Linked DNA regions of Rattus norvegicus. The protein of the gene in region 2 interacts with the protein of the main gene of each other region in a pairwise test. Links are inferred from orthologs where the notes say so. Each region holds a gene or a part of one and is shown on either strand. Other genes may lie near its edges.

Region 1 (4,239 bases), on a different chromosome or scaffold from region 2:
AGACTTGAGCGTTTTAAGCCTAGGTCTCCTGTAACCCAGTGATATTGTCACCTGACTGAAGGTCCTTTTAATGTACTGTATCAAAAATTTCTAATATGCTTTTATTACTCTGCAATAAGTTTGCCAGCCCATGAAAAGAGAAAACTCAATGACTGTAAGTTAAGAGGGATTACTTCACCTATGCTCATGGCTTGTTTGCAAGTGTCCTTTTCTTTGACATTGCAAAGAATACATTAGCTGCTGATGAATGGGCGTTCCCTTTGGCCAGCTGCTGTCTCTAGCGCACAAGAATAGCACATGAGAACACGGAGCAGTACTGCTTGGATCACAGAGAAACGTGTTTTTAATGGCCTCACTCTCTTGTTATTAAGGACACAGGTACCGGTCTGAAAGGGTTTGATGGCTTTGTTTGAAGAGCGGGAAGGTACCAGAAAATCTATATATTAAATTGTTGCTTTTAAGAATACAATCATGATCCCCAGCTCCGAAAAAAAAAAAAAAAGAATACAATCATGAATTTGTACTTTTAACAACAACAACATCACCCTTGCCTTTCTGGCACTTCTCACAGAAGCATCGGCAGCTTCAGCTCACACTGCCTCAGGCACTGCACTGTGAGTAAAACTGGAAGCCAGATGTAAGCGAGGTCTCTGGATGGCCTTTGCTGTGGTGTGATCGTTGTAACATAGACCTTCTGGTTTCTCACCTTGTCACGTCAGTCTTGGCTGTGAGACCCACCAACCCAGCAGCAGCCCCTGTCGGGCTGCACGGCCCTCCCCACCTTTACCTTCTCAGCATCCTGTTCGAACAGCCGCAGCTGGAAGCACTGGTCCAACTTCAGTTTCCTCACGTGCCACATCTGGTGCAGGTGCTGCCGAGTCGAGTGCAGCCTGTCAAGCATGGTGGACACCTTGGGCAAGAGGTTCTGCAGGTCTGCATTGCCCGAGCCTGAGTTCTTTTTGGGAAAACTCTCGCTGCTCTGGATCCGCTGAAGCAGCTTCTGCCCCTCTAAGTCCAAGTCCTCGATGGGAGCCTTGATCACCTTCTTCTTCAGCTGAGAATGCTCGTCAATCATGTTCCGAGCCCCCTCTAGGTCCTGAGGTAACTCCTTTTTTGCAAGGACGTCCTGAAGTTCCTCTAGCCGGGACAGCATGTGGGCTGCATTGCTAATGTAGTCCTCAAAAGCTACTCGGATTTCTATCCATTCCTCATGGTTGTACTCTAGGCAGCCATCAAACTCAGGGGTTAGCTGGGAGGGGTCAACCACTTTGGTAAGGCCTTCTAAAGAGACCATATTTGTCTTGGGGAGGAAAGAAACATGTATGAGAAGATGAACCATGTGATCACATCCTATAACTTACAGTGGTCACACAGAGGTTCCCTAAGTAAAGAATAACCTGCGTACAAAGACCCAGTCAATGTCTGGTTCTGCCTCCCGGAATACAGAGGGAGACTCATTATCCATGCAATGAAAAACTCCACGGAAGTAGCATGTGAGGGAGAATGCCCAGCAGCATAGAACTGTAATTTTCACAAGCTCCAAGTCAACTGGATTTCACTTGAAGAACGAGAAAAACCTAAATCGTAGTCTTATTAATGCCTCACAAGAGTTGTTGAAAATGTTTTCACAGGGTAAAGACACTGGGAATGCCAGCTTCCCTGGGGTTGCCACACATCTGTACAGCCTAACCACTGTACACAGCCTGTCCTGCAACCCAATTTAACACTAAGGAAGCTTCAGTTTATCCCAGTCTAAGCCAGAACTCTCAACCTCATCTGAGGTAAGTGAAAAGGAAGCACACTGGGGTGTGTGTGTGTGTGTGTGTGTGTGTGTGTGTGTGTGTGTGTGTGTGTGAAATGCGAACACAAGGGAAACTTAGCTGGTCTAGAACTGAAAGAAAAACAGACCCGCTACCCAACCTCTGCCACCTCTGACGCACACTCAGAACTGACATCTCCGTGCTGGCTGGATTAAGAAACAGCACATGGCAACAGGCTGGAAAGAGCAGCTCAAGCCTGCACTGCCTTTAGCCTACAGTGCTACAATGGGCTTTTTCTTATCCATCTGCTGGATCATCAGTAACCTGCATGGAGGCAGACACACACACACACACACACACGCACACGCACAGAGAGAGAGAGAGAGAGAGAGAGAGAGAGAGAGAGAGAGAGAGAGAGAAAGAGAGAGAGAGAGAGAGAGAGAGAGAGAGAGAGAGAGAGAGAGAGAGAGAGAACCACACAGGGACAACCAGGTCAGGAGGAAAACAGGCAGGCACCTTCAGGAGCCCAGAGTAAGAGACTAATAAGTAACATCAGTAAATACTTATATGAATGCAAACTACTGGGGTTTTTTTTGTTTAAAACATGTATAATTAAAATGCATTACACTTTAAATTTTCCACTAAGCAAATACTAAGAGCCAGTAAATTATCTTCCAAAATGACTACTTATTGAGTATGAGGATAAAGTGTGCTTTCTATTTCACTTAGACCACTTCAAAGCAGTTTCCAATAAAGCCAGAGTTTAACTCCAGAGAGGAAACTCAGCATTGTGGGAAGGTATTTTAAAATCCAAGTAGTACACAGGAGGAGACATGTTGACAAGTACAACTGATGTTGTTTCACTGTGGAATATTGTTTACCTTAAAACACGATTCTTTTACACCGAAATCTTTTACAGCCTAATATCACGGCAGAGACGGCAGGACAGCAGGCTTTTCTGTCCACCAGGAACGGTTATAATTTATAACGAGAAACTATCCCTGTCCTATTACAGAACAGGACCTGAGCCAAGCTTCAAGCCGGCTGGGATACTTTCTCCTCTAATCATCCCATTAAACTGACCACATCAAAAGCCTTGTCAGAACTGTGGTGGCTTAAGGAGAGGCGGCTCTCAGTGGGAAAGAAAATAAATTAGCAGGCTTTGGTTTACTTTTTATAACCGTCTGACAGCCATCGTCTAGGCCCAGCTGAATGCAGAGCTCTACAGTTCTCAAAGACTCCGTACACTTTTACAAGACGACATGTAGAGTGGCTGAGGAGTCTCCCCACTATCGATGACCAGATGGGCTCAATGCCCCTCATATTCCCTCATGCCCAGGATGCAGCAGTCACCACACATCTGCAGTCACTCGGCCCAGTGCTGACAGGGGGAGCTGTTCAAGTGAGGTGATGAGAACAGGCTTCTCCTTCCAAGCTACCATGGCCCCACACCCTAATCCCAAAGAACTGAAGTCCAAACCCCTGTGCCAAAAGCCACCACACGGGGAAAAGGGACGAAGGCATCTACTTTAAGCATTAACCAATGTTTACCATACACACATAAGGCGGCTAGCTAGGCCACACTCAAGGCTTGGCTGTAAAGACCTGCCATGCCATCAGCCCACTGTGGTGGGGATGCACTGGCTTATCACAGACTGTGCCTGTGAGTTTAGGATGTGACTACCTGGAGTGTTACCTCAAATTCAAATTTGGAACTGCCAAAATTCGTCCTCTGTTTCTGCCAGAAGTTGTCGGGCTTGATTATCAGGGCGATGTGGATGCAGCAGGGGAAGGACTCCTGCAGGATCTTCAACAGTGGTTTGATGGAGTCCCACTTGGAGCCGCGCATGTCCACAATCACCGTGAACCCTCGCTTGCAGACTTCCTCGCTGCAGGGCAGGAAAGAGGCTGATGAGTGAGTGAGACGGCCCAGCTGCTGGAGCCCTTGCTGTGTAAGTGTGAGGACCAGAGCTCACATCCCCAAGCACCCACATTCACAACTAGCATGTATTAGGGTGAAAAGCAGAGGACCCAGGTTCCTTTCCCAGCATTGATGTGGTAGCTCCCTGACATTGGTGACTCCAGTCCTAAGGGATCTGAGGCCCTCTTCTGGCCTTCATGATTACTGCATGGAACAGGGGATAGACAGGCAGGCAAAGCACTCAAACAAAATAAGAGGGAAAACAAAAAAGCAAAAACAAACAAAACAAACAAACAAAAAACCAAACAAACAAACAAACAAACAAACAAACAAAAAACCGAAAACCACTGGGTCTGGCCCTGCCTTCCTGTAACCGAGCACTGTGGAGGATGAAGACAGCAGGATCTGGGGACGGCTGACTGCAGCCTAGTTCCAGGTTCAGAGACACTCCAGGGAATAAGGCCAAAAATGTTAAGGCAGACATTTGATATCCCCTGATGTTCTGTGAGCACACCCACACACGCACATCTACCTGTGCACAAACAGGCACACGTGTCC
Region 2 (4,239 bases):
GACCAACTGCCCAGGACGCCACCACCCAAGGTGGGCTGGGCCCGCCCACCTGAATCAACAAGCAAGAAAATGCCATACGGATACGCTAGATACGCCGGATATGCCGGATATGCCGGATACGCCGGATATGCCGGATATGCCGAGAGGCCAACTGGATGGAGGCACTTCCTCGGTTGAAGTTCCTTCCTTCCAGGTGACTCTAGTTTGTGTCAGTTGACAAAAACTAACCAGAACAGCCACTGCACAGCAGTATGTCTTTCTCAATTAGGACTACTTGAGTATTCTGTGGAAATCAATCATGACTGTATAGTCTTGTGCACTTCCAAAGAATTGAAATGTAGACTCAAATGCACTTCAGGATAGGACAGTAATATATTCTAACATATTAATGGTCTATAGGCTACAAAGATAAGGGGGAGGGGAGGTCAATAACTTTCAAGGAAAGAAAAGTTAGAGACCATTACTTTGAAGAATGGGGTATTTTAAGGGATAGGACTTGACTTTTCACATCATAGTCATATAAGAGAGGGGTAAAATTAGCAATGTATTCAACGTACGTCTGAACAAACAGAGCTTACATATCCAAGAAGCTGACAACCTGAACTGGTGGGCTGGCTCAGCAGGAAAAGGCTGACAATCTCACAACCTGCTGAACGTGGTGGAAGGACAGGACGCTCCCACCAATTGTCTGCTAACCTCCACACGCACGCCACCATGGCACATGTGCCCCACCCCAATGGAATAAACTAATTTTAAGTGAAAACTTGTATTTATGATGAAAAGGAGTCACTTTACTATGTACAAAGTTATCCAAGAGCACTGGCAAAGTCCCACACGCCAGCAATGAGGCCGAGTGTTCAGTGTGGCATCCACACCAATCAATGCATGATCCGAAACGGCTACTCCCAGGCTCAGCATGGAGATTCCCCATTTTATATCCATCTACAGTAAACACACACCAAGATGCTTACATAAATGAAACAAACACACAAAAACCCAGGACACAGACAAGCCAGCAGAGAGAAGTCTGTCTGAGCCGTGCTGGGCATTGCTGAGTGAACTTCACGGCGCATGTCTGCAAAGCTGCTGACCTGTGCACTTCTTCAGACTTCCCAGAACGTTTCCTCCTCCTGCCACCCCAGGATCAGAAACCACGTACTGAAGTTTAAAAAGACACTACTTTCTTTTCAAATACTCCTCCCTCTTCCTCTCCACACTTGTCAAACCACTTTATACGTTTCCCTAAATCCTGTGTGCTTCTTAGGAAAAGACTACCTTACTAAAATTTTTTCTTACCAGAAAAATGTACAGATGCCACTACCATTTTGTTCTTCTTTGTGCCTTCTGCCAAGCAGGCGTGACTTGTGGAGTTCCGCAGAGGTCTGACAGTTACATTGGTGCAGGCCTTGCTCTGAACCACCCACCAATGCACGGTGGGTGCGCTGCGGTGCCCACTGTGCTACAAAGGCGCACAGCAGTGACCAGGGCATAGCTGGCCAGCAGGGAAGTGGAGGAAGAGAGGGAGCGCTAGTGACTGTCACAGGGTACTGCTGACAACTGCCTTGAGCTGCCAGGAACACAGGTAGCCCTTTAATGGGATTACTGAATTATGCTATGTCCTCGTAGTTTGAGTACAAACAAACAAAGGTATAAAGCTTATATCCTTAAAACTTTATTTAATCACCTCAAAATAAGGTGAGTAATCCTGTCTCACTTCCTTTATTTGACCCACAAATGTCCAATACCCAGATTGGCTCCATCAGCTGCTGACTCCTCACCCTATTCGGGAGGATTAAAAAGGAAGCCTCCCTTACAGACATCACACATGCTTTAGTCTTACCAAAACAATGACTATCTTAGAGACTTAACTCACACAACCTATTACTGTGAAATCCATACTGATTTATAGAATTGTCTAGTAAGTATATTTAATTTAAATAAAGAAATAGTATTAAGGTCAGTTTGTTCTAGTTTATGTAGTTTGAACACAAACATAACTGTAGCTTTAATAAAGTAAAAAAGTGGTCCCAGCACATGTACATAGTTTTATTATTGTTGTAAGTGGTCTAACAGCGGGGCTGAAGAAGTAGAGATGAATGCATTTTCTACTAGCAGGTGGCAGATCTACAGCCACAGAAAAGCTTAGATCACCTCAGCACACAACGCTGTGTGTAACAGCAAAGACACTGCCTGAACACAAGAGAAAGGACTGTGGAAAACATACTTTGATGGCATCTTTGGCGTCTACCACAGCAAGGTCTCGCAGGGCCCAAGCAATCTGCCTTTTGTAGAAATCTCCCTTGTCAGATTTCTTGACTTTGACCACCTTCACCTGCACGGGGCGTTCAGTTGTCACTGTTGAACAGAGCACACAGACACGACTGTTAGCATGAGTCACCTACTCACTCTTCCTGTAAATGTGGCTCTTGGGGGCCTGGACAGAGGTCAGAGACTCCTAAAGGAATCATCTGAGTCAGATTAGAGGGCTGGAGGCAGAGAGATGCCTGAGAGGTACAGCTGCAGGCCTCTTTCACAGAGTGCAGGAGGAGAAATCTAACGACTGACACATTAAGTCCCTAGAGTCCTGAAAGCGCCTCACACCATCACAAAGAGCAACAGTGGGTAGTCAACCCTGACAGCACAAAGAAAGACGAGATGGCCAGGAATGAAGTCACTACAGAGGATGGGTGCTCAGCTTCTCAAGGACTGCGGTGGAGGTAGCAAGGGACGCCATTAGAGAAGTTACATGCTCTAGTTTCTACTTTCAAAACATGACTGGCAACAGAATGGAGTTTGGATCTGAAATGAATGCTGATACATTTAAAAAGCAATGGCTTTCCAAACAACAAACAACAAACCCCCAATACTCTCTTAAAGACCTTAACATACCCAAACGGACTAAAGGAGAGGTCCTCAACCTGGGGGCCACATAAGACCATCGGAAAACAGATATATAAAAACAAAATTACAGTTACGAAGCAGCAAGAAAAACGTTATGATTGGGGTCACCACAACATGAGGAACTGTGTTAAAGGGTAACAGGATTAGGAATATTTGGAAAAGATGTCCACTAAACTGCACTTGCTGGGCAAAAATGTGTCATCACCCCACCTCCCCACACTGGTCCAGCACTGCCACCTGCTTCTCCTGCAAAGTTTTCAAGAAGAGAATAACTCCAAGCACACAACCATTCTAGTGAGAAGGCAAGGGGCACGCACTGGTTATTTAATAACTATGGCTAACCAGCTGAAGGTAGCAAGAGGAAAACTACACACAAATAAAGAACATGGAAGCAAAGTCTTAAACCAGTATATTGCTAACAGTGTATTTAAAAAAGATACAATTTTGTTTCATCATATCTTACATTATAACTGGTAACAGCACACAGACGTAAGAATACCTTGTAACAAATATAAAAAGGTGCAAAACTTTAAAAAGAAAGTAGCAAGGCTTACCAACACAGAAAATAAGCATATTCATGGAAACAAACATCATTAAAAAACGCAAGTCCCTACAACTTAAATGATAGCTTAAAAGCAATCCCGACCAAAACACAATAAAATCTGAAGTATCTAGTACACATTTTTGCTGAATAAACACCGACCTGTGGCACACAGAAAACAGTTCTTTTTCTTTTTGCCTGCTTTGCAGACATTCACGATGCTCAGCAGGCGTTCGTCGTTGGGCGTGAAGATGTCTCTCTGTAGTGCGTGCTTGATTGCTGTCATCTTCTCTCAGCTGAAAAGCATTTAGGAGAAGGTGTTGAGCTAATTCACAAAAGCACCGCCCCCCTCATAGTGTTCCATTTATGACTCGAATGATAAATTCTTAATAAATACATAAACATATTAATACATCTATAACATAGAAGCATGGAGCTTCAAGTTTGGAAATGAAATCAGAGAAACCAGTACACACACACACACACACACACACCCATATATACATATATGCAAGCATACACACAGAGACACGTGCAAAAAGCCAATAAATATAGAAAAAATGTTCGGTATAGAGCTGGGGCGACAGCTCTGTTGGAAAAGTGTTTCCTAGTAATTGGAGGACACAAGTCCAATCTTGTTAGTTTCCAGAACTCATTTAACAAGCAGTGCATGGGGAAGCCTGCCTGCAACCTCATGCTGGGGAGGCAGAGACAAGCAGATCCCTGGAGTGCACTGAGCAGACAACTTCACCTATGGTTGGAGCGCCAATCTGGTGAGAGACCACGCACAAGAAAAG
Region 3 (3,631 bases), on a different chromosome or scaffold from region 2:
AATGTACTCAATTCTCTCTATGATTTCATGAAAGATTTTATAGAGGGGAGAAATATGGGCACTCACACTATTTTGACGATTTCTAGTCAACCTCAGACTATGGTGGAGAGTTATGAGGAAACACTAGAAGCATTTCATAAACATGGCATTTCTCCCTTCTCGTCTGTACCACCACCCATCAAGAGTCTTTGTCTAAAGGCACTAGAATATCCTTAAAATTCATGAAGCACGATCAGTATGATAGTCTTTGGAAGGGAGATGGCTGAAACGGTGGAAAACTTTGAAGCAGGCTTTCCTTAGGTTGCCTTCTACAGGTATTTAAGGATTTCTGTCTTCTGATGTGCATGCTGGCCTCTGGAGAATTAAATTCCAGCCCCTCAGACAATCAATCCCACAATGCTGGAAAGCAGATGTCTCAGATTGTATGCAGTTTTCCTACATCTGCTCATAGACAGTAATCAATTTAAGAGAGTTTTAAAGACCGTGGCTGTAGCTAGGGCACGAACTCTCTACAGTGTTTTGATTCTCAAGTCCCATTCTAAGGTTAGTGAGGTTTATATGGAGTAATAAGAGGCCCAGTCAGGAGGGCAGTGAAGCCCTGGATTCTAACAGTGGTTGGCAGGACGTCACCCACAGTCCTTGCATATTCTGAAGGCCCCTCTGTCTGCTCCCTGCCCTCGCCCACTAGCCTCTTTACCACTCTCTGCCCACCCAAAACCGCTCGTGCCTTAGAAAAGTCTAAGTCTGGGCTGTGCCTTCTGTTTGGAAATCTACACAGCCTGCTACCTTCCCTCCTGCAGGACTCAGATAAACAGCCGAAGACCGGCTGACTGACCACCCTGCTTAAGGCTATTTATTTAGCATATCCCCAGCACCGTGGACCCCTTTACCATACTCGGACCCTCTAACGTCCCTTATAAATAACACCCCGTGGACATAGATTATCGTCTGTGGCTAGCACACAACTTCAGGAAGGTAAGATTTGTATCTGCTTTCCTCTCCCACCGATAGATAGCAAATGTTTACAGTGGAGCCTGGCGGGTTAAAGGATCCCTGCAGCTGTCTGTTGAGTCAGGGAAGGACCTGTTCTGAATCTATGGGGAACTGCAGCTATCTAATTCACAGGCAGGGCTGCTGCTTCCCAGCCCGCAGCACAATGCAGAGTGAAGGATGAGAAGCAGCTGCCGAGAAGTGTCTAATGTTTGCTCTTCTCAGGCATTCCTGGTGCCTGCCGGGTAGGTGTTATCTCAGTAGCCCTTAGAGACAAAACCAACAGTAAATAGGGCAGAGGTGGCTTCTGCCTCCCATGGGTGGCTAACTAGACTGTGGCAGCCACGTGGGAAGGAGTCTGTAGTGTGTCTCACTCTGGGCCTTGTACCAGCTTCCCTCTTAGAGCTGGGGGTTGGGGGAGGGGCAGACTTTGAAGCAGCAGCCTGAGCAAGCCCTTAGACCTGGGGACAGGCGCTTACCTGTACATTCCTGTTCAGGCTGACGGCAGGAAAGAACAGGCCCTCCACATTCTCAAAGGCTATGGGGCCTTGCTGTTCATTGTTGACGAAAAACGTTAATGTCTTTCTGTTTAAGTCGAGGAGGACCCCGATAGTGGCCCCTTTTGTGATCCCTCCTTCAGTTCTGTGGGAAAAGGAAAGTGGAGTCTCATCCGCTTGCTTTCATTTTGCATCTCCTGCTTGCAGCTCCATGAACCATGCTGCGTTTCCCCTTTGCTGCGTTTCCCCTTTGCTTTCTGGCACTGGGGGTTGCCTTTAGCGTGTGGTAGGCCAGTGCTCTGTCACTGGGTTTTACCCCAGACCTTTTTCTTTTTTACTTTTTATTTTGAGACAGGGTCTTACCAAATTGACCAGGCTGGCCTCGGACTTCCATGATAGCCCGGGCAAGCTTTAAACTTGCAGTCTTCCTGCCTTCCCAGAAGATGGGACTATAGGCCTGTCCCACCAGGCCCAGTGTAACCTCCTTACACCCCCACTCCACTTTTGTCAGCTTCTTAAAAACACATTTTTGCTCTAAGTAACCCTTTTCATACGAAAACCTTAAAGCCTTAGATATACTATGTGGTATTTATATTCTGTGTGTCTGTGCTTCCCACAATAACATATGATTTAGATGCTTTGCTCTCCCAAATTCCCACCCCCCCCCCGCAGAGACAGCCACCCCTCATGACAGTCCCTTGTTTACTGTGCCTTGCTGAGAGAGAATTGTTATCAATGACTTTCTGCTACTGAGCTGCAGTAGCAGACGATACCAAAGACTGGGCCCAAACAGCCTTTAAGCTCCCACGGTGCACTAGCTATGCTGTGCACTTAGCATGTACAGTACGACTTCAGCAGCATTTCATACAAAATGATTTAACTGGAAAGTCACAATAAAGAAGCACTTAGGTCAAGCCCAGAGCATATATGATGAGATACTGGACTCCGAGCCTTCTGCTTCCCACGAGGCAGTGAAGCTCACTCCGGAACGACGCTAATCTTTCAGCACATTGACTTTGAATGAAGACATTAGGTTCTCTCTGTAAAGTGACAGCACTGGGCGAGATGCTTCCCTGAGACATAATTATGCTGCAGGGAATTTGTGATTTCCAACCCAAGTACAAACATCATCTTACAAAGAACCGTGTCTTCTGATGCAAGTGATGACTGCACAGAGACAGCCAGCCCGGTCTGTCTCCTCTCCTTAGTGTGAGGTCTAGCAAAACAGAATTCCATCTCAGCAGAGCACAGACATTTAGAAACACCACTCCTTTCTCCTGCATGCAGAAGACAGACTGGACACCGCCACGGACGGGCTTAAGGACTACATCTTGCTATATACAAGTTTGTCAGCGACAGCACAAGCCACATTCAGTTTGCATGCAAGGAGATGTGTTCGGCTTCTGAAATGTGCTGTTCTGCATCGTGTGATGGTGTTACTATTGTTTATCCCACCACTCTGGAGTCAAGGGGCTAAACACAAGTGTACAGGTGATGGAATCAGGGATGTTTGGGTCATGGTATCAGGGACCGAGTAACGGAGTCTCCCCTGGTATGGATCGCTGAAGATAATTGCTCTCTGTAGCCACTTGGATTCGATACCAAGATAAATTGCTTTGGGTGCTCAGTTCAAGGGATAGCCACTAAGACAGACCGAATGGAACAGGACAGAGAATGTCCGAGGACCGGGAAGCTCTAGGAGTCTACTGGTTAGCAAAGCATCAGTGGTGATCTGACAGGAGAGGCTGAGAGAGTGAGGTCATTATTCTGCCCTTGCTGGGCCTGCTTTCCCTCTGATTTCACTGAACATAACTAATTTTTTTCCAGAGACACCAAAGAGAAATGTATCCTGAGGGTGATTAAGACAGACCAGTGTCATCAAAAGACACCTTTGGCTCCAGAAATGATGAGTGAAATCCACTGAAGAGACCACAAATTGAAAGGGAGATTATAGGGTATATTGAATTAAAATTGTCAATATCTTGTTGATAGAGGGCATTGCTTAAGGAGATACTATTCTCCCTTCAGCAGACTGGGTGCTCTAATTCTCACACTAACAAGCAAATCCTTCTCATTTAGAGCTCTCCGGACTGGCATCTCTAACACCAAGTTTAGTTAATGGCTTCTATTCTGAGAAGCGGTAT
Region 4 (4,239 bases), on a different chromosome or scaffold from region 2:
GGATGGTAACGTCAGTTCACAATTGTAGGATTGAATATAAACCCAGAGATCAGCAGCTTGGCTTTGCTGTTCTTAGAATATGACTGTAAATGACAACTGAGGGAATTTTGTACAGAACTTTGAAGGTGAGTATTATCTTCGCCCAATCTGGTAAGAGCAGACAAGTAGCCCCAGAAGGATTTGAAAGAATCATCTTTTCTTCAGGGCTGCACAGAGGAAATCCCTAAGGTACCATGGGTAACCAAGTGATTCTTTGGCACATGAAGTTCTCAGTCTATCCTGACCATAGCAAAAATGATACATCTGTTCTCTCACAGTTACACTCCTTTCTTAGTGTTGGTTCCACTAGAAAAGCCAGGCAGAGAGCACAGGCCACTGTGAGCACTTATTGATCTTTGTCATGTTTATTTGCATTTACTTCTCAGTTGAGACAAAATGTGCAAATAGGATGATATACACAAATTCCCTTTGGCTTCTTCGTCGATTGAATCCAATTGCAGAGTAGACCCAATAACTGTGAGCCCCATCAGTGCCAGAATTTGATACACATTTGTTAAGAAAACCCCTATCTCCTATGGCTATTGTTTTCCCCAACCATGGTAGATAGTGATAAAATGCTTTTAGGAGGTACCCAGAGTCCAAGATTGATTTATATATTTATCTTCTCAATCCTGTCTCCTAGAGATAAGGCTGTAAATGCTCATGGCAAGTGGACCTCGAACTCCAGGTGAAAGATTACTACTGCCTCTCCCACAGTGCCCCAATTGTCAAGTCCTAAATTTTACCTAAACCACAGACAGCACGCAATCCCAGGGGCTGCTGAAGTAGCAAGTACTGGAAATGATGCTCTCACACACTTTCTTTACTCAAGAAGGATGTCATAGAACCAAGAAAGACACGTTTGATTCCTATTTAAAACATAATTTCAAATGCTTTTCTAGACACTTATTTCCCAAGTAGAAATCACCTAATTTTACCCCTTTAATTCTGTGTACTTTCAATAAAAGAAAAAGACATTCTAAAGCATAGATTTTTTCTTTATCTGGATGCAGTATCTTTTTAAAAACAACTGGTGGGTCTGATTCACAAGTAAATCATCACAAAGGCAGTATTCAATTTTGAATGCTCTGTCTCCACTCATTTTGAGTTTATCTGCATTGGAATGGGAAAAGTTTCTCTTGGGCAATGCACAGATAGATATATATCGCTGGAGTCTGACCCAGTAAGCAAATTTGCCCCCTGAGAGAGGAACTCTGACTTTTCTTTTTTTTCTTATTTTATTTTATTTTATTTTTTTGCACTGAAGTAAGGGCATGCAAATGGGTGTGTAGGGAGAAGGCACGAATATCATGTGATGGGATAGCTGGACAGTCATATCCCAGAAAGAGGGACTCACCTCTGGAACACAGGACCAAAAGTCACTAGCCACTAAGGAAGGTTATAGCACATTTGCACACACAGTGTGCTAACTACCATTCACTTTTAAAAACAAACTGTGGAGGTTCCCATTAAAAGTAATGTGTCCAAAAGTTTTTTTTAAAAAACAATAAATAATGCATTGTCTTGAAGTGCCAGGTTCATTTTGTTCCAGGAACTGGGATATTTCATAATAAAAATAAAGTAGAAGCCAGAAATGAAGCAATGGCAATTCCTTTATAGAGAAAGCCTAGGCATGAGTCATGTGGTCCTTGGATTTCATTCGTCCCTACTTCCATCCTGCCCTTATTCCAGCTGTGGAGACCCAGGATAGCCTACCGTAGATGGCACATCACTCTGGGCACTCTAATGCTCAAAATAACTCAATAGTTCTAAGATTATTAATGGTATGTACCCATCTTACAAACTTTAGTTAACTTGGTAAAGTAATTCTGAAATCAAAATAACTTTATTTTGTAAAAACAGTTCCAATAACAAACATTTACTATTTTGCTAAGTATGTATATTTTAAAGTAATCCTCAATTTGGTCCTAAATTCTTGTGAAATTCTCATTAGAGCTTAAATGAATGAGTCAGCCATCCTAAATACTTTAGCAAATAAGGAAAGCATTTATAAGAGAAAACAACGTGAGCTCTCTGATGCTTAATGGGCACCTGCACTGATCACTCCATAATGCACACATTAGCATAATACAATGAATGACCTTAGTTATATTTAGTCATAAAGAAATTTAGTGTTTATTTTTCCAGTTTACTACAGCTAGGAGTAGATCTGTTTGGACTATTTTTGGTTGGATATATGTACTTATAATGTCTTTCTGTTTCTTTGAACTTTTAAACTCAGAGGCTCACTGGAAATCTACTATCCGGATGACAGGCCATCTGATCAAAAAGCTTAGGCAATGTCAGTAATATCCAAGTAATTCTATTTTCCTAACAAAAACAATTCTGAAAAGTGCAAGCTAATTACTTAGAATTTTTCTTCTGAATTTTTAAAATATTTACCCCATTCAAGCACCTGTGGTCAGCAAGGTATGACAGCACACACTTTTAGTCCCAGTGCTTGGGAGGTAGGGAAAGATGGATTTCTGTGAGTTCCAGGCCAGCCAGGGAAACCTAGTGGGACTTTGTCTCAATCACAAAACCAAAAAGCAAAAACAAACAAACAAAACCCAAAACTGAAATTTGTGGATGGACCAAAATTATACCACATAAAATATTCAAGTTGGCCTATGCTTTGAATAAAAAATGTATGTTACAGAAGTCTTCATGATGATAAGATATATGACTGGCTGGTTTTGCGTCAACTCGATACAAGCTAGTGTCATCGGAGAAGAGAAAGCCTCTGTTGAGAAAATGCTCCCATGAGATCCAGCTGGGAAGCATTTTCTCAATTAGTGATCAGCTGGGAAGAGTCCAGCGCATTGTGGGTAGTTCTATCCCTGGCTGATAGTCCTGGGTTCTATAAGAAAGCAGGCTGAGCGAGTCAGTAAGCAGTACCCTGTTATGGCTCCTGCCTCAGCTCCTGCCTCCAGGATCCCGACCTGTTTGAGTTCCTGTCCTGACTTCCTTCAGTAATGAAAAGCAATATGGAAGCTTGAGCCAACTAAACCCTTTCCTCCCCATCTTGCTCTTTGGTCATGGTGTTTTGTCACAGCAATAGAAACTCTAACTAAGATGGTATATCTTTAAAGTGTTTCCTTAAAAGAGTATTTTCTTTGCCAATGTGAGTAGCCAACATATGGGGAAAACAAACAAACAAAAAAACAAAAGAAGGATCCATAAGAGAGTCATGCCCAGTTTAGTTGGGTCCTCCAAGCAGCTCACTCATTCATGAGCATGTGAAACCTGCATAGCTGGCATCCCTGTGCCATGACTCGAAACTTATGGATTTCTGTCTCCTAGACGACACAGGTTGTCCCAGCAGCCAGTCGGTATCCCCTGTGAAGACTCCCTCAGACACTGGACACAGTCCCATTGGCTTTTGCCCTGGAAGTGATGAAGATTTTACCAGGAAGAAATGCAGGATTGGGATGGTTGGTGAGGGAAATATCCAATCAGCTCGTTATAAAAAAGAATCCAAGGGAGGCATCATAAAGCCAGGTAAGTACCCTTACTAGTCATCTTTAAGACATTATTTCTTTTATTTTTTGAGATTAATATATGAGATTATAAAACTAAATATATGTATATGTAATTAAATTGTATATGTTTTATATATAATTGAGATATATTATCTATATAATTAAATATGAGATTATAATATAATTAAATTTCTGCTTTCCTCTCCTTGCCCCAAACCCTCTCATCTATGTCTCTTTGCTCCTTTTCAAATTAATGCCCTTTTTTTTCATTAATTGTTGTTCTATACATATGTTTGTCTATATACATATATCTAAGCATATCTGCTTAGCTGTATAATATTATATGTGTATATGTTTTCAGCGATGACCGTTTGGTATTAGATAATGAGTTGGTGTGTTCTTCCTTCAAGGAGATATAGTGCAGTCAGTGAGATTTCCACTAAAACCTGCCTATCAAATCAGAAATGATGGTACCCAGGACCCAGACAGCTTTTTAAGGGATGTAGCAGGTAGAATAAAATATTTAATGCAATAGTTGCTGGTAATTAAGTACAGTGTGTAACCATCATAGACAGGTGGTTTTTTTTTTTGTATGTTTGTTTGTGTTTTAGAATCTGGTTTATTAAGGTGTGTGAATCCTGATTAAATGACCCTTGACCAAAGGCATCACTAGAAACAGACCTTCTGAGTTCATTGTTCATAGGCACGAACACTACCT
Region 5 (5,038 bases), on a different chromosome or scaffold from region 2:
ATTTTGGTTTTATTTCTTGTATAACAAAATGTCTTTTGGAACTAGTGGGGCCTACTGTGCTAAGCCCATAGTTGAAAACTGATGTGCTAGATACATAAATCTACAGTTATCAACTTTTGTCCTTAAAACGCTATCACAGGAGTAATCAGAGCAGCTCTTCTCACAACAGGCAAACCATACGTGTAATTCTAGACATGCTATTAACCATCTGTAACCCAGTTATACCAAAATCTCACTTTACAGAAGGAACGGTGCAGGGTCTCCATATGGTAACCAGAGGCTTGCAACACCAAAGTATAAGCAAGCTCCAGGCCAGCGGAGTGGTAAAGGTTTCTCCCATTTTCCCAAACGAGGTATCATGTTTCCCAGCCACTCAAGGGCTTTCGGTCCGTCCCTAGGAGTGGCAGCTAGGGAGGAGGAAAGCACAAGGACTGCGGTCCAGAACAGTGAGGAGCAAGCAAACACGAGGTCAGAAGCTGTGACACAGAGGTTCGTGGAGACAGAGGCAAGCTGCTTGCTTGTCCATGCTTTAGTTGTTCAAAGTTATTTCATCAGTGAACCAAATAATCTGCTAAGTCTTTCCAACCTAATATCCAATACAGCCCTTTTATAATAAATATCCATTTCTCTCATATCGCACCAAGACGGTGATCCCTTTATTAGAAATTAGAAGCCAGGCACTGATGCCTCATTTCTGTAAACCTAACACTGCGAAGCCTGGGGGATGAGGAGGGGCTGCAGAGATCTGAGCTCAGCCTAAGCTGAACAACCCAGTGAGTTCTGGGCTAGCCTGGGTTAAAAAATGTAATTAGAATTAGGATAGAGGGGAGTAAGAGTGAACTAGAAGGATGGCCAAAGGACATCTATGTTCCCAGATCTGTCCCTTTCTAGCCATAACTGTGGGCAAACCCCTGCACCTCAAAATAAAGTTCTAGACCGACCCTTACTTGCCATGGTCTTCATTCCTCCATCTTCAAGTAGACTGACTTTTTCCCCATCATAACGAGGATGTCATTCCTAACCAGTACCCGTTTTTACTTCATCCTTAAGCAAATACAAGCAGTAATGTTGGGGCTGGAGAGATGGCTCCGCAGTTAATAGCATTGGCGGCTCTTTCAAAGTACCCCAGTTCAATTCCCAGCAGCCATATGTCATCTTCCAACCGTCTGTAACTCCAGTTCCCGGAGCTCTGGCACCCACACGCAGACAGAAAAGCGGGCAAAACACCAAATACGTAAAATTTTTCTAAAAATCATTTTTTTTAAAATACTGATTTTTTTTTCCCCTCAACTTTCTGGTACTGAAAGACAGTCCAAACATATTTAGCTCACCCTAAATCTGCATTCGAGCCTGGACCCTCTCCTCAGAATGCACTGAGTAAACAGATTTGAGCAGTATGTGCTGTAGCAGTAAACTTAAAAAGACACTCGAAAGCCTGAGGGAGACAATATATAAGCAAATCATTAACTCCCAATTGATGAAGTACTCAGTGCAGCCTGGCATGGTGCTACTGGATCAGTGAAAACAAGAGATGAGATGCCCAGACGTCAAGCTCTATCACTCTAGTGGGAATGCAAGGTGTTTACTAGGAAGGCCATTCTGGAGCCAGGAAACAAAGGAAGATGCCATCTTCAGTAAACTGCAAACAGTCCCAGAGAGAGGACCTGTGTAACAGTAGATGAATTGAGAATGCAGACAGACACCAGAAACTGGGAAAGACTGAAGGAATGGAATTGGAACCATGAAATTAAAAGTCTCTTCTTCCCCCACATAGTAAAAGCAATCTGGCAACCAGCAAAAAAAAAAAATCTACCTGAGGGAAGGTAAATAAAAAAAGTTCCTGGTCCCAGGACAGCTCCTAGCTTTCTTGTTATGGCATATTAAACAGGACAAATTACAGGTTAAGGGTTCTAAGTGTTTTTAACCTAGAGATTGAGGCCAGTGTTGTTGAGAACAAGGAAGAAAACCACCATATAAGAGAAGGGCGATGCGCTCTAACAAATTAAGAGAGACAAACATTAATAAAGTCTGGAAAGAAGACTGACTTCACCCATGCAAACCACTTATTAATGTTTACATCCTTACCAATTATAGATTATACATTATAATACCTACTTTATACTTATCCTCCTCATTCAATTTGTTTAAAGTTTTTTAAATCTAAATGATGATACGCTGATCAACTGTCTAAATACATATATTCCATTAATACTTAATGTTCTCGATAAAAAAACAAAATGCTTTATCAAACAGCTACTCTGGGAAAAAAAGGAAATGTTCATTCTCATTCATAACCGCCCTCCCCAACCCTCTGGGTTTTCTTTTGAGACAAGGTCTAAGTAGTTTTTGCTATTCTGGAGTTTGCTCTATGGGCTAGGCTAGCCTGGAGCTCACAGAAATCCACCTGCCTCTGCTTCCTGGATGCCAGGATAAAGGCGTGAAGCCTCCACACCTGGTTTCTCCTTAAGCGAAATAGGACACTCCAATCTTGGACAGCAAAGAATCTGTGCACTAGGAATTTCCATTGCTAAGGCCTACTTTATGATCAGCAAACCTAATTGGCTAGGTAGTCAGCAAAGATGAATTTGCAATTATTGAAATTCAAAATCAGGCTTTATCACCAACGACCACCCCAAATGGATTACCCCCTCCCTTTACTTTGTCAAGAAAGTAGGTACATTTTAAAACTGTATAAAAATAGATGTCAAAAGAGGGAGAGGAGGGGGAAAAAGCATCTGAACCTACAGATACGGTGTAATCCAAAGTTCTCATGTGTTTTAGGGCGTGTCTTTGTTTTGACTCAGTGATTTCAAAAAAAAAAAAAATCCCACTCATTCAGGGCTCTCAGGTACTTCCCCTTACCAACGCGAGCATCTAGGCTTTGAAATCCCAGGGCATCTAAGCCTCGCCCTGATTTCCCGGTGCAGGAAGGCTGCAGCCCGGGTGTCCCGCGGTCCCTTCCCGTCTCAGCACCACCGAGCAGGGGCATCCGGCCTGCCCGCTGCACCGCAGGAGGCTCGGGAGAGGGGGCGGGGGCTCCGAGGGTCGTCCCAGAGCACCGACGCCCAAGGACACCCGGCCCTCGTTCCGCCCGCGCTGCGCCCGGGAGCCAGGTAGCCTCCAGCGTCCCGAGACCCCGGCCCTGACCCCCGACTCTCACCGTGCGGAGGTCGCGCTGCCTCCTCGGCCGCGGCCCGGCTGCGGGTCGCCCAGCGACCTGCCGGCCCGAGGGTAGGAGAGAGGCGAAGGACAGTCCCGTCACATCCCCGTCCGCCCAGCTGCCTGCTCCGCAGCAGCCAGCATCGCCTCCACGGCCTGCGGGAGCGCCGGACTTCACCGTCGCCGCGCCCCCTCCCTTGGCCGGCACCTCCTGGACTCCGCCCTCCAGGGCCCGCGCACTACGCGTGCGTCGCCCCGCCTCCCGGACAGTCCTTGCGCAGGCGCGAGTCTCACTGGGCTAGGCCCGCCTCCGGGCCCGCCCCACCCTCGCGCCAGCCGTTCCCAGGCTCCGCCCTGATCCACTGACCTTGCATCTTTGCCCCCTGACTCAGGTCTTTTCTGGTATGAACCTTTCACTCCAGTCTCTTGGCCGACCAACTCAAAATGGCCCTCTGGATTCAAATGTGCTGCTTGACCACGACCAAACCTGTCAGCTCCTGCTCCAGACTACTAGGAGTGATCTGAAGCAACCATGACTTTGTTTTGGCCTGTCTGTGGCTATGCCTCAGCCAGGCATACTGAATCTGAGCAGAGATTGCGATAAAACGCTGAGAGCTGAGAAAAGGAGCTATCTTATGAGGGTGTGGATCTCAATCCCATTCCATAAATCATCTCTCCAAGTCATTGAGAGTTACCGTGCAAGCCTGCAGTATCTGGCTATCTATTATAAGCGTTGAAAGTGATTATTTATCTGACCCTAGACTGCCTGTTCCCCTCACTAGCCCCAACAGCTCAAATGAAATTAATAACATTGAAAGAGAACTTGGAAAGGCACCACCTCTCCTCCAGACCACTAACATAATTACGCTGTGATAGGGGAGGAGACACTTGTGCCCCTCCCTTAGTCCATCAGACTGTTGGAACATTATACTCCAAATAATTTAAGAAAATAGATAATTCATCCTGGAGAAATGAAAACAATACCGAAGGCCTAGCGCCGTCCGGAGAAGGAGCTTGCCTCTCAGGAATTGCAGCTCTGAGGTCTCAGATCACTTCGCGAGATAGCCTTGAGTGAGCTGAAACAACGCTAGGTCAGCAATACCGCACCGTAACCTAGCGGAGTATTCAATTTACCACTATTTCTAGCTCTCTATTTAAACTTAAACTTCTTGTCAGTACTCCTGAAGGCGGACTTGGTGGTAACTGGACCCCTTTTCTTCCTCCAATTCCCTATGTGGCCATATTGAATAGCTCTCTTTTTTATACGTTCCATTATTACTTGTCTCTTTAATTGGCCAATAGAATAATGATAGGGAGACTTAATTTTGTGGGTGATAAAATGTTGGAAAAGACTAGGGTTACATGTAGTACATTTCTTTGTAGATTAAGTAAATCATTAGGAGAGCAAAGCCTCAGACCTCTGAAATACAGGCTCCAGCACAACACTCATGAATTTATGCTATGCTTTGAACTTTATGCTACAATCAAAGATCAGTTGAGAGATGGGGAAAAAGGGGCTCTTCACAGATTGTCCTTGGGAGCTACGCAAGATGCAACAGGTCCAATCCGCTTTATAAAGACTCTGGGAGGGGGGAGGATGATCTTTCAGTTCCCCAAACCAAGATGAGCTTTGCTTTTCTGAACCACTTGGCTGTTGTCTTGTGACTCCCGGAATATTTGAGGTAAGCATGTATTTTCTTTGGCTGTTTGACGTGGTAGGTCATCACTTCCCTTTCTTCCACAAAGGTAGGATCCTCACAGAATGCTTGCTACATATGAATTTTTACAGGCTTCATCTCATTTTCTGTGTTCCCGTTTTTGTCTTTGTCCCAATTTTCTCACTTCCTTGGTTGTCACCGTGCTTCTATTTCTATTAGGC
Region 6 (4,939 bases), on a different chromosome or scaffold from region 2:
GCAGGCAGACAAGGGAGGCTGACTAGCCCTATACACTATCACTATTGCCACTGTATGGAAGATTTGAAAAGTTTACTCGAAACCACCAGCATCTGCCAGGAATTCACTGGACACACAGACCAAGATAATCAAGCTAAGAACCAGAAAGCACGCACGTAACAGCTTCTAGAGAACCAAACAAACTGAATGCCCAAACTCAGGTTTCTACACTAAAACGCACTGTAGAACCCCTCAGGTAATTACCTTTAATTCACACAAAGTTTATGTGTGTTATTTCAAAGCTCACAGTAGTTCAAAAAGCAGGGAGAAAACCAACAGTACACAATGAGAAACTTACAAAGTACAAAACGTAACCAAAAACAAGAAGAAGCTGAGTGCTGATGAGCTGCTTAGAGCAGGGGCAGGAGCCAACCTAAGAGTGAGCACAGAGAACCTTTCCTATCTCATTAAATCCTTCAAGGGACATGGCATGGGCATTTACTCCCAGCACTCAGGTGGCAATGGTAGGGGGGTCACTAAATTTGAGGCCAGACCCTGGTTTACAGAGTGAGTCCCAGACCAGGGCTACAAAGAAAAACCCTACCTAAAAACTAAAAAAATAATTATTTTAGAAGGTTACTTAAGTCTTACCTATAGGGTTGTGTCTGACCCAGATGCTTACTTCTCTAAGGATATTAAGTCTTACCTATAGGATATTAAGTCTTACCTATAGGATATTAAGTCTTATTTATAGGGTTGTGTCTGACCCAGATGCTCGCTTCTCTAAGGATATTAAGCTACAAGAACTGGGAGCTCCAATAGCTTAACTTGCAACAAGCTTTCTAAAACTCCCTTCCTACTCAAGAGCTTCAGTTCATTTTTAGAGAAAAGTTCAACATTAAATAGGAAAAAGTATATTATGTATCTTAGCGATACTTCATCCTATTAATAGGATATCTTACGGTATATTCTTTCAGACTTGTATTTTCACTACACACACACACACACACACACACACACACACACACACACAGTTTTCCTGGTGTGCTTTTGGGGAACATGGGCTTGATGTGTTGCTCAGACTGTATTTGAATATGAAATTCTTCCCAAATGCTGAGATTACAGGTGTCAGCCATGCCACTTATTAAAATACGTTTCTTTTTGCCACAAACACTGGGCCACAACTCACACATGCACTTGTCTCTTGTAACATCTGTCATTCTATGTAAATAATACTTGTTTGCAGCTCTGATACTATGTAGCAATTAGGTTATTTTGGGGCCCTCAACACACCTTCATCTGTAGGAGGAATAACATGTACCTCATGGAGTTATGAGGTTTAAGTAATCTACATTAACTACTAAAGAAAAGGTGAGCAGAGGTCCAAGTCCATGTTCATTTTTACAGCTGCACAGTAGCCTGGGAAGAATGCATGCAGCCAACTCTATCGGCCCCAGAGTGTGACCATGGAAGCAGCACCAGGGCTAGCAAGGCAGTTCAGACGCGCTTGCCTGAGCTCCATCTCAGAATCCAGGTTAAAACGACAGGTGTGCTGGCACACTCTGGGAAGCCAGTGCTCCGAGGCACAGGTGGATTCCCCGGACTGGCTGGCCAGAGAGCCCAGCCTATTTGGTGAATCCCAGGTCAGGGGGTCTGTTGGAGAGATGGCTCAGAGGTTAAGAGCACTTGTTTTTGCAGAGGACCAACCAAGGTTCAGTTCCCAGCACCCACATAATGACTGACAACCATGTATTACTCAAGTTCCTGGGATCCAACACCCTCTTCTGGCCTCTGTGGACAGTAAACATGCACACAGTATACAGACACACATACAGACAAGACACTCACACACATAAATAAATAATAATATTTTTTAAATAGTAAAATGAAAAGGGCAATGCCTGAGTAATGACACTATGGTTGTCCTCTGGCCACCACACGCACAAAAGCCACACACACACACACACACACACACACAGAGAGAGAGAGAGAGAGAGAGAGAGAGAGAGAGAGAGAGAGAGAGAGAGAGAAAGTGAAGAGAACGGCGTAACTAAATCTTTTTGCATCCTAAATCTTCTCAGAATATGTTTCTAGAAACAGAAAGCTGGGTCGTTATATTTAAGCACCCAAACTGCGACCTTTCTTGAACCATGGGCTTTCTAGGTGTCTAGGAACCATAAAAGTAAAGCCGTTCGTGCTCCATCCACTGATACTCAGAAAGACTGGGGAGAGATTCAACAGAAGCCCTCCCCTACTGTCACTCACACCCTCAGCGCTGAAACCCTGAGTGCCGGGAAGGATTAGTTTGTTTCTAACACGAACACGCCCCCTTTTCCCAACCCGGAACCATACTCCATACTAAAAAGCATACTAAAAAGCAATGGCGGTCCTGAAAAGACGCAAGAACACGGCTACTACCGACAGGCTCCGTGCCCGTCCTGTTCAGCGTCTGCCTCTGCGCCCTGTCCGCCATCGCCCAAGTTATGCGAAGTGACTAACTCGTGACAGGCTTGGTCGCTGGACCGCCGCCCTCGGCTCCTGCGAGCAGCCTGGCCCGGGAAGGCTCAACTCAGTGCCTCAATCAGGGTTTGGTTTGGAAGCAGGAGACTTACAGGGACCTGGCTATTCCGGGTGCAATGTCCAGTGAACACGGAGGGGGACCTCGGACAGAGGTCAGAGGTTAAATATCACAGAGGACCTGGGCTGCCCCACCCCCGTCACCACTCTAGAGTCAGGGTCCCTTACCCGTAAGAGAAACATCCCACGCAGGACCGGAACCCATCGCACTCATTTCTCAGATCCTGTCGGTTCTTACGGGGAAAACTTAGGGGTCAAATGTCGCGACGGGTCCCTTCGCCCTGCACAGGGACGGAGTTTGGTTGGGAGAAACCAGGTCAGGGTTCCTACACGACCTAGACGGTCCAAAACCTTCCTGGCCTAAGGTTTGGGGGTAAAGCCCCGGGGCGGAGGTCAAAGGTCACGGACGAACTTTACCCCGCCCTCCGAGCCTTGGCGCAGGGGGACAGCGTACCTGAGCAGGGGCTAGCGCCTGCTGCAGCTGCTGCTGCTCCTCGCTGATCTTCTGCTTCAGCTTCTTGAACATGGCGCGGCGAGGGGTCGGCGGCGTCTCTACCCACGGGGAGGCCGGGCCCGGGCCTCGCCGCCTTCCTGTGGAGCTCGCGGGCACCTCGGGGCGCTTGTCGTGCGGGTGTCGGCGTCGCCGCCGCCGCGTCTCTTCTTTCTGGGTGCCCCTGGCTGGCCTCGGCCCCCCATCCAGCCCCGTCAGCGGCGGCGGCGGCGGCGACAACGGCAGCAGGTGAACGCGCCCTAGGCGCCTGCGCGGCCGACGTGGAGCTTGCCAAGGGCCTGCTACGGAACGCCACGGTGGACAATATGGGTGGTGTGGGTGAACGCGCGTGCACCGTAGCTCCCGCGCTGACGCTAACTGAGGTCTTGGAGCTGTGGAGTCAGATAGGGAGCATCGCGCCACTGAGCACCACAGTGAGGAAGGCAGGGGTGAGAGGGGATAGAGCTAGAAATGCAGGAGTGTATGTATTCAGTGTCGCTTGGCACAATAATTTAGAATTCTCTCTAAGGGTTTTTGGATAGTGGATTGTCTGGTTGATTGGATGGATGGATGGATGGATGGATGGATGGATGGATGGATGGATGGATGGATGGATGGATGGATGACTAGTTGGTTCGTTGGTTGACTAGCTGGTTGGTTGGTTAGTTGGCTGGTTGGTTCGTTGGTTGGTTGGTTAGCTGGTTGGTTGGTTAGTTGGCTGGTTGGTTCGTTGGTTCATTGGTTGGCTAGCTGGTTGGTTGGTTAGTTGGGTGGTTGGTTGGTTGGTTGGTTAGCTGGTTGGTTGGTTAGTTGGTTGGTTAGTTGGTTAGTTGGTTGGTTAGTTGGTTGGTTGGTTAGTTGGCTGGCTGGTACGTTGGTTGGTTGGTTAGTTGGCTGGTTGGTTCGTTGGTTGGTTGGTTGATTTGTTGGTCGGTTTGGTTGGTTTAAAGAGAAAATCCAGGGCTGAGGATGTGGAATGCTTGCCTAGCATATGCAGGAGGACTTGGATCTAGCATCAGCACCTCATAAACTGGGTGTGGTTGTGTACACCTGTAATCCCAGCACCTAGAAGTAGAAACAGTAGAACCAGAAGTTCAAGGTTGTTCTTGCCTATGTCATGAGTTAAGGCCAGTGTGAGCTACAGTGAGATCCTGTCAAAAATGTAAACCAACAGTCTGGCTGTGTCATGCAGACGGACCTTGAATTTGTTTGCTAAATTGATTTTCCTGCCTCCAGGATGCCTGAGGTCTACAGGTGCACAATTTTCTACCTAGTCAGAACTGTCTGCCTTTAGTGCTTAGTATTGTGACTGCACACCAAAGTAGACTTTTCCATCTGTCAGAGAGTCTTCTACACTTGCACAACAAAGAATATTTCTGTGACCTCTGCTCATGAAGACTCATATCTCATATGATATTTCAAAACTCTAGGTCTCATCCCCTACCTGGATGACATCCATTCCATTCTGATTCTTTGGACTGAACATTAAGAACTGGTGTGGCGGGGCGCACACTTTTAATCCTATCACCTGGGAGGCTGAGGCTAGTTGATCCCTGTGAGTTCCAGGCCAGACAGGGGTACACTGCATAGTGAGACCCTGACTCAGAGAGAGAGAGACAGAGACAGAGATAGATACAGAGAGACAGGGAGATACACAGAGAGACAGAGAGAGATAGAGAGAATACCAGATCTCACAGGTTTAGGCCTCAGTCCCACAAGACTGCCCTCAACTTCCAATGGCAGTCACATTGCCAGTAGAGGAGATTCATAGCCAAAAACCCAAGTGAAGGAGTCCTATCTCTGGGCATATATAATACCTTGTCTTAGTTTGTCTGCAAGAATTCAAGGAAGCAACCTGGAGGCGGGAACTGAAGCAGAGGCTAAGGAGGAATG
Region 7 (3,159 bases), on a different chromosome or scaffold from region 2:
AAAAAAGGGTCTTTAAAAAAGGAAAATAAACACAAATTGTAAATTGGTGTACTCTCTTCCTCACAGTTTCTCCTCACTCCCAACTCTCGGAGCACGCCTTCACGGAGAAGGACCATGCTACCTCTTCATGCGACAATGTCCTCTTAAGGTGGCCTAGGGGACTGCTCATCCATCAGGAGTGAGCTGGATGCTGCTGGGGGCTGCAGAAAGCCTCAGTGGTAGCCTGTGACAGGTTCCCATCACACAATGCCCATAGAGGCTATGCTAAATCCTCCTTCTCAGCCTATGAGCGTTAAGGGATAGAAATGCAGACAGCAAATCTGCAGAGGCTGCAGAAAGAAGCCTGTGCAGTAAGAGGGCAGCAACCCCACACAGACGACAGGCACCTTACAAGGACATGGGCTGAAATGACGCCCTTCAGGTAGAAATAAAATGGCAATTTAAACATTTTAGGCCTCATTCTATTTATAAAATACCCACCAAAAATACATAGCTGTCCTTTGCTCCATGCCAGTATGAAGTCCTTCTGGGAAACACAAAAGCAGAAACAAAAGCCTGCTGTTTGCCCAGTAGGATGAGACAACTTACCTGCTAAAACTAGGGTATAGGGTCAAACAGGCTGCAGCAGAAAAAACGTATTTGCAAAAAAAAAAAAAAAAAAAACCAAAACAAACAAACAAAAAAAAAACAAACAAACAAAGAAAGAAGCCCTCCCACAAAGGCGAGCTGGGGGCTATTTGTAAGCAGTGAGTACCGCAGCTGGAAGGAGGGAAACACAGCCTTTTAATAGTTTAGTGCCTAAACTGAAAGCTCTGACCTTAGCTGGGTCAGGGCACAGCAGGCCATCGTCTTAGCAGACAGGGCTCAGTGGGGCGGTTCCTGCCCCCTTGTCCATCATGAGGAGGATGGTTCCATCTCTGCAGTGCTGGCCACTCATCTTCGTGATGACAGGTTGATACTGTGCACCATTTTCTGGATCTTCTCCTCATTCTTCAGGATGTTGGCCTTCACCGCACAGATCTTGTCCTGCTGGTCTTTGATCTGTTGTTCCAGCTCAGACAGCTCAGCCTTCAGGGGCTCCACCGCACTGTCTGTGATGCTGGTGGACAACAACCAGTGAGTGTCATCAGCTTTGTCTGTGCCTCTCACTCCAGCCCAGAGGCCATGAACAGCAAAGGGCTGGCTCCACCCCAAGGCAAGGGTTTACGTGTCAGACCCCTAAGAATGGCAAACAGGTACCCCTTGCAGCTGGCAGGCCTAGAGTACAATCCAGCCTGAGGTGCTGATGGCTTATTCGTTTACTTCCTACGGAAGCAGGGAGGGAACCCAGGGCTTCACATGCTAGGCAGGCACTCTCCCAGAGCTCTTTCCCTAGCCCTTAAAACGTAAAGTGAAAAGGAGCATCTTGGTGACAGGCTTGAAGTCCTTAAAGTACACAAAAGAGACCCTGGGGCAGCAAGAAAGTGGACGGACGGCTAAGGTCCCACAGACACTGAACATAGCCTGAACCAGTGCCTCCTTACCAGGAGACACCTCCTCAGTATAAGGCTCACAGGGCTTAGACAGACTCCCTCTACCCAGGTCCTTGGCTCATGTGTTCAGCAAGGACAGGTGACCTCCTCATTGCTGGACTGAGCACTGGACCCAACACAGAATATACCTCAAAATGCTGGAGCCAAACATCACTCTCCGTTCAGGCTTTTAATACAACACAAAGACACCCATACCCGACACACACACTTTGCTGCAGGAGAGCAGGATCAGGTTTTACAAGGGAGGCTCTCTCTGGGCTAACGGTACATGCTGCAATCACCATCAATACTATTGGTGATTTCCTACGTTCCATCATGTGACATATTTTAAAATGTGTAGGACTTTTTAATATAACAGACTAGTAAGAAAGAGCCCCCAAATTAGCTGTTCAATAAAAATCGGTCAGCTCTGACACCATACACACACAACATAAGAGGACTTAGGTGGTGTGTTTATGTATTTGTGCATACACATACATATATGTACCTGTATGCAACAATGATAAAAGCTGCTATCAATCTGAGGGGTTAGAGGAAGGGTAATAGGAAAAGGAATATAATTCTACTATAAAATTATTTTGAAAACATGGGGGAAAAAAAAAGAGTACAATTTTAGCTGGGCATGCTGGTCCATACCATTAATCACATGTTCACAAGGTAGGTAATCTCTGTGAGTTCAAGGCCAACCTGGTCTACAGAGTGAACACCAGGCTAAACTGTGAGACCCCGCCTCAAAAAACAAAACAAAGCAAAACAAAACAAAAGCAAAAAGCAGAAGGAGGGGTTGGGGATTTAGCTCAGTGGTAGAGCACTTGCCTAGCAAACGCAAGGCCCTGGGTTCGGTCCCCAGCTCCGACAAAAAGAAAAAGAAAAAAAAAAAAGCAGAAGGAAGGAAGGGAGGGAAGGAAGGAAGGGAAGAGTAGACCCAATATAACTCAGCTTTCATGAAACATGGACTTATGGATATATCGTTCAATCAATAACATGTTCTGAAGGAAAAAAGTCTACACGTTTGGTCATATAAAAGGTACCTCTCTAATAATCTCAGTCTCCAGGGGCTATTCTATTCCTTTCAGTCACAATTCTGAGTTCGTCAGTGTCTCATTCAGGCCCCGCCCCTCCCTTCCTGAAGCCCTGCCCCCACCCCTCCCTTCCTGAAGCCCTGCCCCCACCCCTCCCTTCCTGAAGCCCCGCCTCCCACCCCTCCCTTCCTGAAGCCCCACCCCCACTCCTCCCTTCCTGAAGCCCCGCCTCCCACCCCTCCCTTTCTGAAGCCCGCCCCCCCCAAAAACCCTGGCCGCAGCCCCCACCTCTGCTCCTTGCTCAGGGCCTCGGCATGCTGCCGGTTCTCGCTGTGCCACAGCTGCAGCTCATTCTGCATGGCATCCACATCCTCCTGGATGTAGTCCATGATCTTTCCCAGGGGAAGTGCGCTCTTACACAGGGTCTGGATGGACACACGGAGCTTCTCTATCTCCTTGGAAACGATGTCCTTCTCCTTCTTCCATGCTGACTCGAAGATAAGGGATCTCTCCTTTGGTTATGGCAGGGAGGAAGAGAATGTCTTAAGGACCAACTAGACAAACTAGAGACTGCACCCCAAGCAGGTCCCACAGAAGGGAAATAA

Evidence for each region.
Region 1: the proteins of Exoc1 (region 2) and Trio interact in a two-hybrid assay, tested with the Homo sapiens proteins (2 studies listed by BioGRID and IntAct). The link is inferred for Rattus norvegicus from reciprocal best matches to the Homo sapiens genes EXOC1 and TRIO.
Region 3: the proteins of Exoc1 (region 2) and Trim9 interact in a two-hybrid assay, tested with the Homo sapiens proteins (2 studies listed by BioGRID and IntAct). The link is inferred for Rattus norvegicus from reciprocal best matches to the Homo sapiens genes EXOC1 and TRIM9.
Region 4: the proteins of Exoc1 (region 2) and Sybu interact in a two-hybrid assay, tested with the Homo sapiens proteins (2 studies listed by BioGRID and IntAct). The link is inferred for Rattus norvegicus from reciprocal best matches to the Homo sapiens genes EXOC1 and SYBU.
Region 5: the proteins of Exoc1 (region 2) and Ccser2 interact in a two-hybrid assay, tested with the Homo sapiens proteins (2 studies listed by BioGRID and IntAct). The link is inferred for Rattus norvegicus from reciprocal best matches to the Homo sapiens genes EXOC1 and CCSER2.
Region 6: the proteins of Exoc1 (region 2) and Golga4 interact in binary tests that used the Homo sapiens proteins (3 or more experiments, as listed by UniProt). The link is inferred for Rattus norvegicus from reciprocal best matches to the Homo sapiens genes EXOC1 and GOLGA4.
Region 7: the proteins of Exoc1 (region 2) and Traf3ip1 interact in a two-hybrid assay, tested with the Homo sapiens proteins (2 studies listed by BioGRID and IntAct). The link is inferred for Rattus norvegicus from reciprocal best matches to the Homo sapiens genes EXOC1 and TRAF3IP1.

Annotation. Positions count from the first base shown.
Region 1 is NC_086020.1:80,412,625-80,416,863, forward strand, and holds part of Trio (triple functional domain protein), read right to left. Parts: intron 3,650-4,239; coding exon 3,457-3,649; intron 1,301-3,456; coding exon 788-1,300; intron 1-787. UniProt on the Homo sapiens protein: Guanine nucleotide exchange factor (GEF) for RHOA and RAC1 GTPases. Involved in coordinating actin remodeling, which is necessary for cell migration and growth. Plays a key role in the regulation of neurite outgrowth and lamellipodia formation.
Region 2 is NC_086032.1:32,007,268-32,011,506, forward strand, and holds part of Exoc1 (exocyst complex component 1), read right to left. Parts: intron 3,739-4,239; 5' UTR 3,729-3,738; coding exon 3,605-3,728; intron 2,356-3,604; coding exon 2,225-2,355; intron 1-2,224.
Region 3 is NC_086024.1:94,495,070-94,498,700, forward strand, and holds part of Trim9 (E3 ubiquitin-protein ligase TRIM9), read right to left. Parts: intron 1,633-3,631; coding exon 1,470-1,632; intron 1-1,469. UniProt on the Homo sapiens protein: E3 ubiquitin-protein ligase which ubiquitinates itself in cooperation with an E2 enzyme UBE2D2/UBC4 and serves as a targeting signal for proteasomal degradation.
Region 4 is NC_086025.1:77,770,659-77,774,897, reverse strand, and holds part of Sybu (syntabulin), read left to right. Parts: intron 1-3,342; coding exon 3,343-3,540; intron 3,541-3,660; exon of another isoform or gene 3,661-4,239. UniProt on the Homo sapiens protein: Part of a kinesin motor-adapter complex that is critical for the anterograde axonal transport of active zone components and contributes to activity-dependent presynaptic assembly during neuronal development.
Region 5 is NC_086034.1:12,742,628-12,747,665, forward strand, and holds the start of Ccser2 (protein FAM190B), read right to left. Parts: upstream 3,377-5,038; 5' UTR 3,161-3,376; intron 1-3,160. UniProt on the Homo sapiens protein: Microtubule-binding protein which might play a role in microtubule bundling.
Region 6 is NC_086026.1:127,084,225-127,089,163, reverse strand, and holds the start of Golga4 (golgin subfamily A member 4), read right to left. Parts: upstream 3,083-4,939; coding exon 3,011-3,082; intron 2,838-3,010; exon of another isoform or gene 2,740-2,837; coding exon of another isoform or gene 2,725-2,739; intron 1-2,724. UniProt on the Homo sapiens protein: Involved in vesicular trafficking at the Golgi apparatus level. May play a role in delivery of transport vesicles containing GPI-linked proteins from the trans-Golgi network through its interaction with MACF1. Involved in endosome-to-Golgi trafficking.
Region 7 is NC_086027.1:99,554,116-99,557,274, reverse strand, and holds the end of Traf3ip1 (TRAF3-interacting protein 1), read right to left. Parts: intron 3,067-3,159; coding exon 2,843-3,066; intron 1,100-2,842; coding exon 934-1,099; 3' UTR 761-933; downstream 1-760.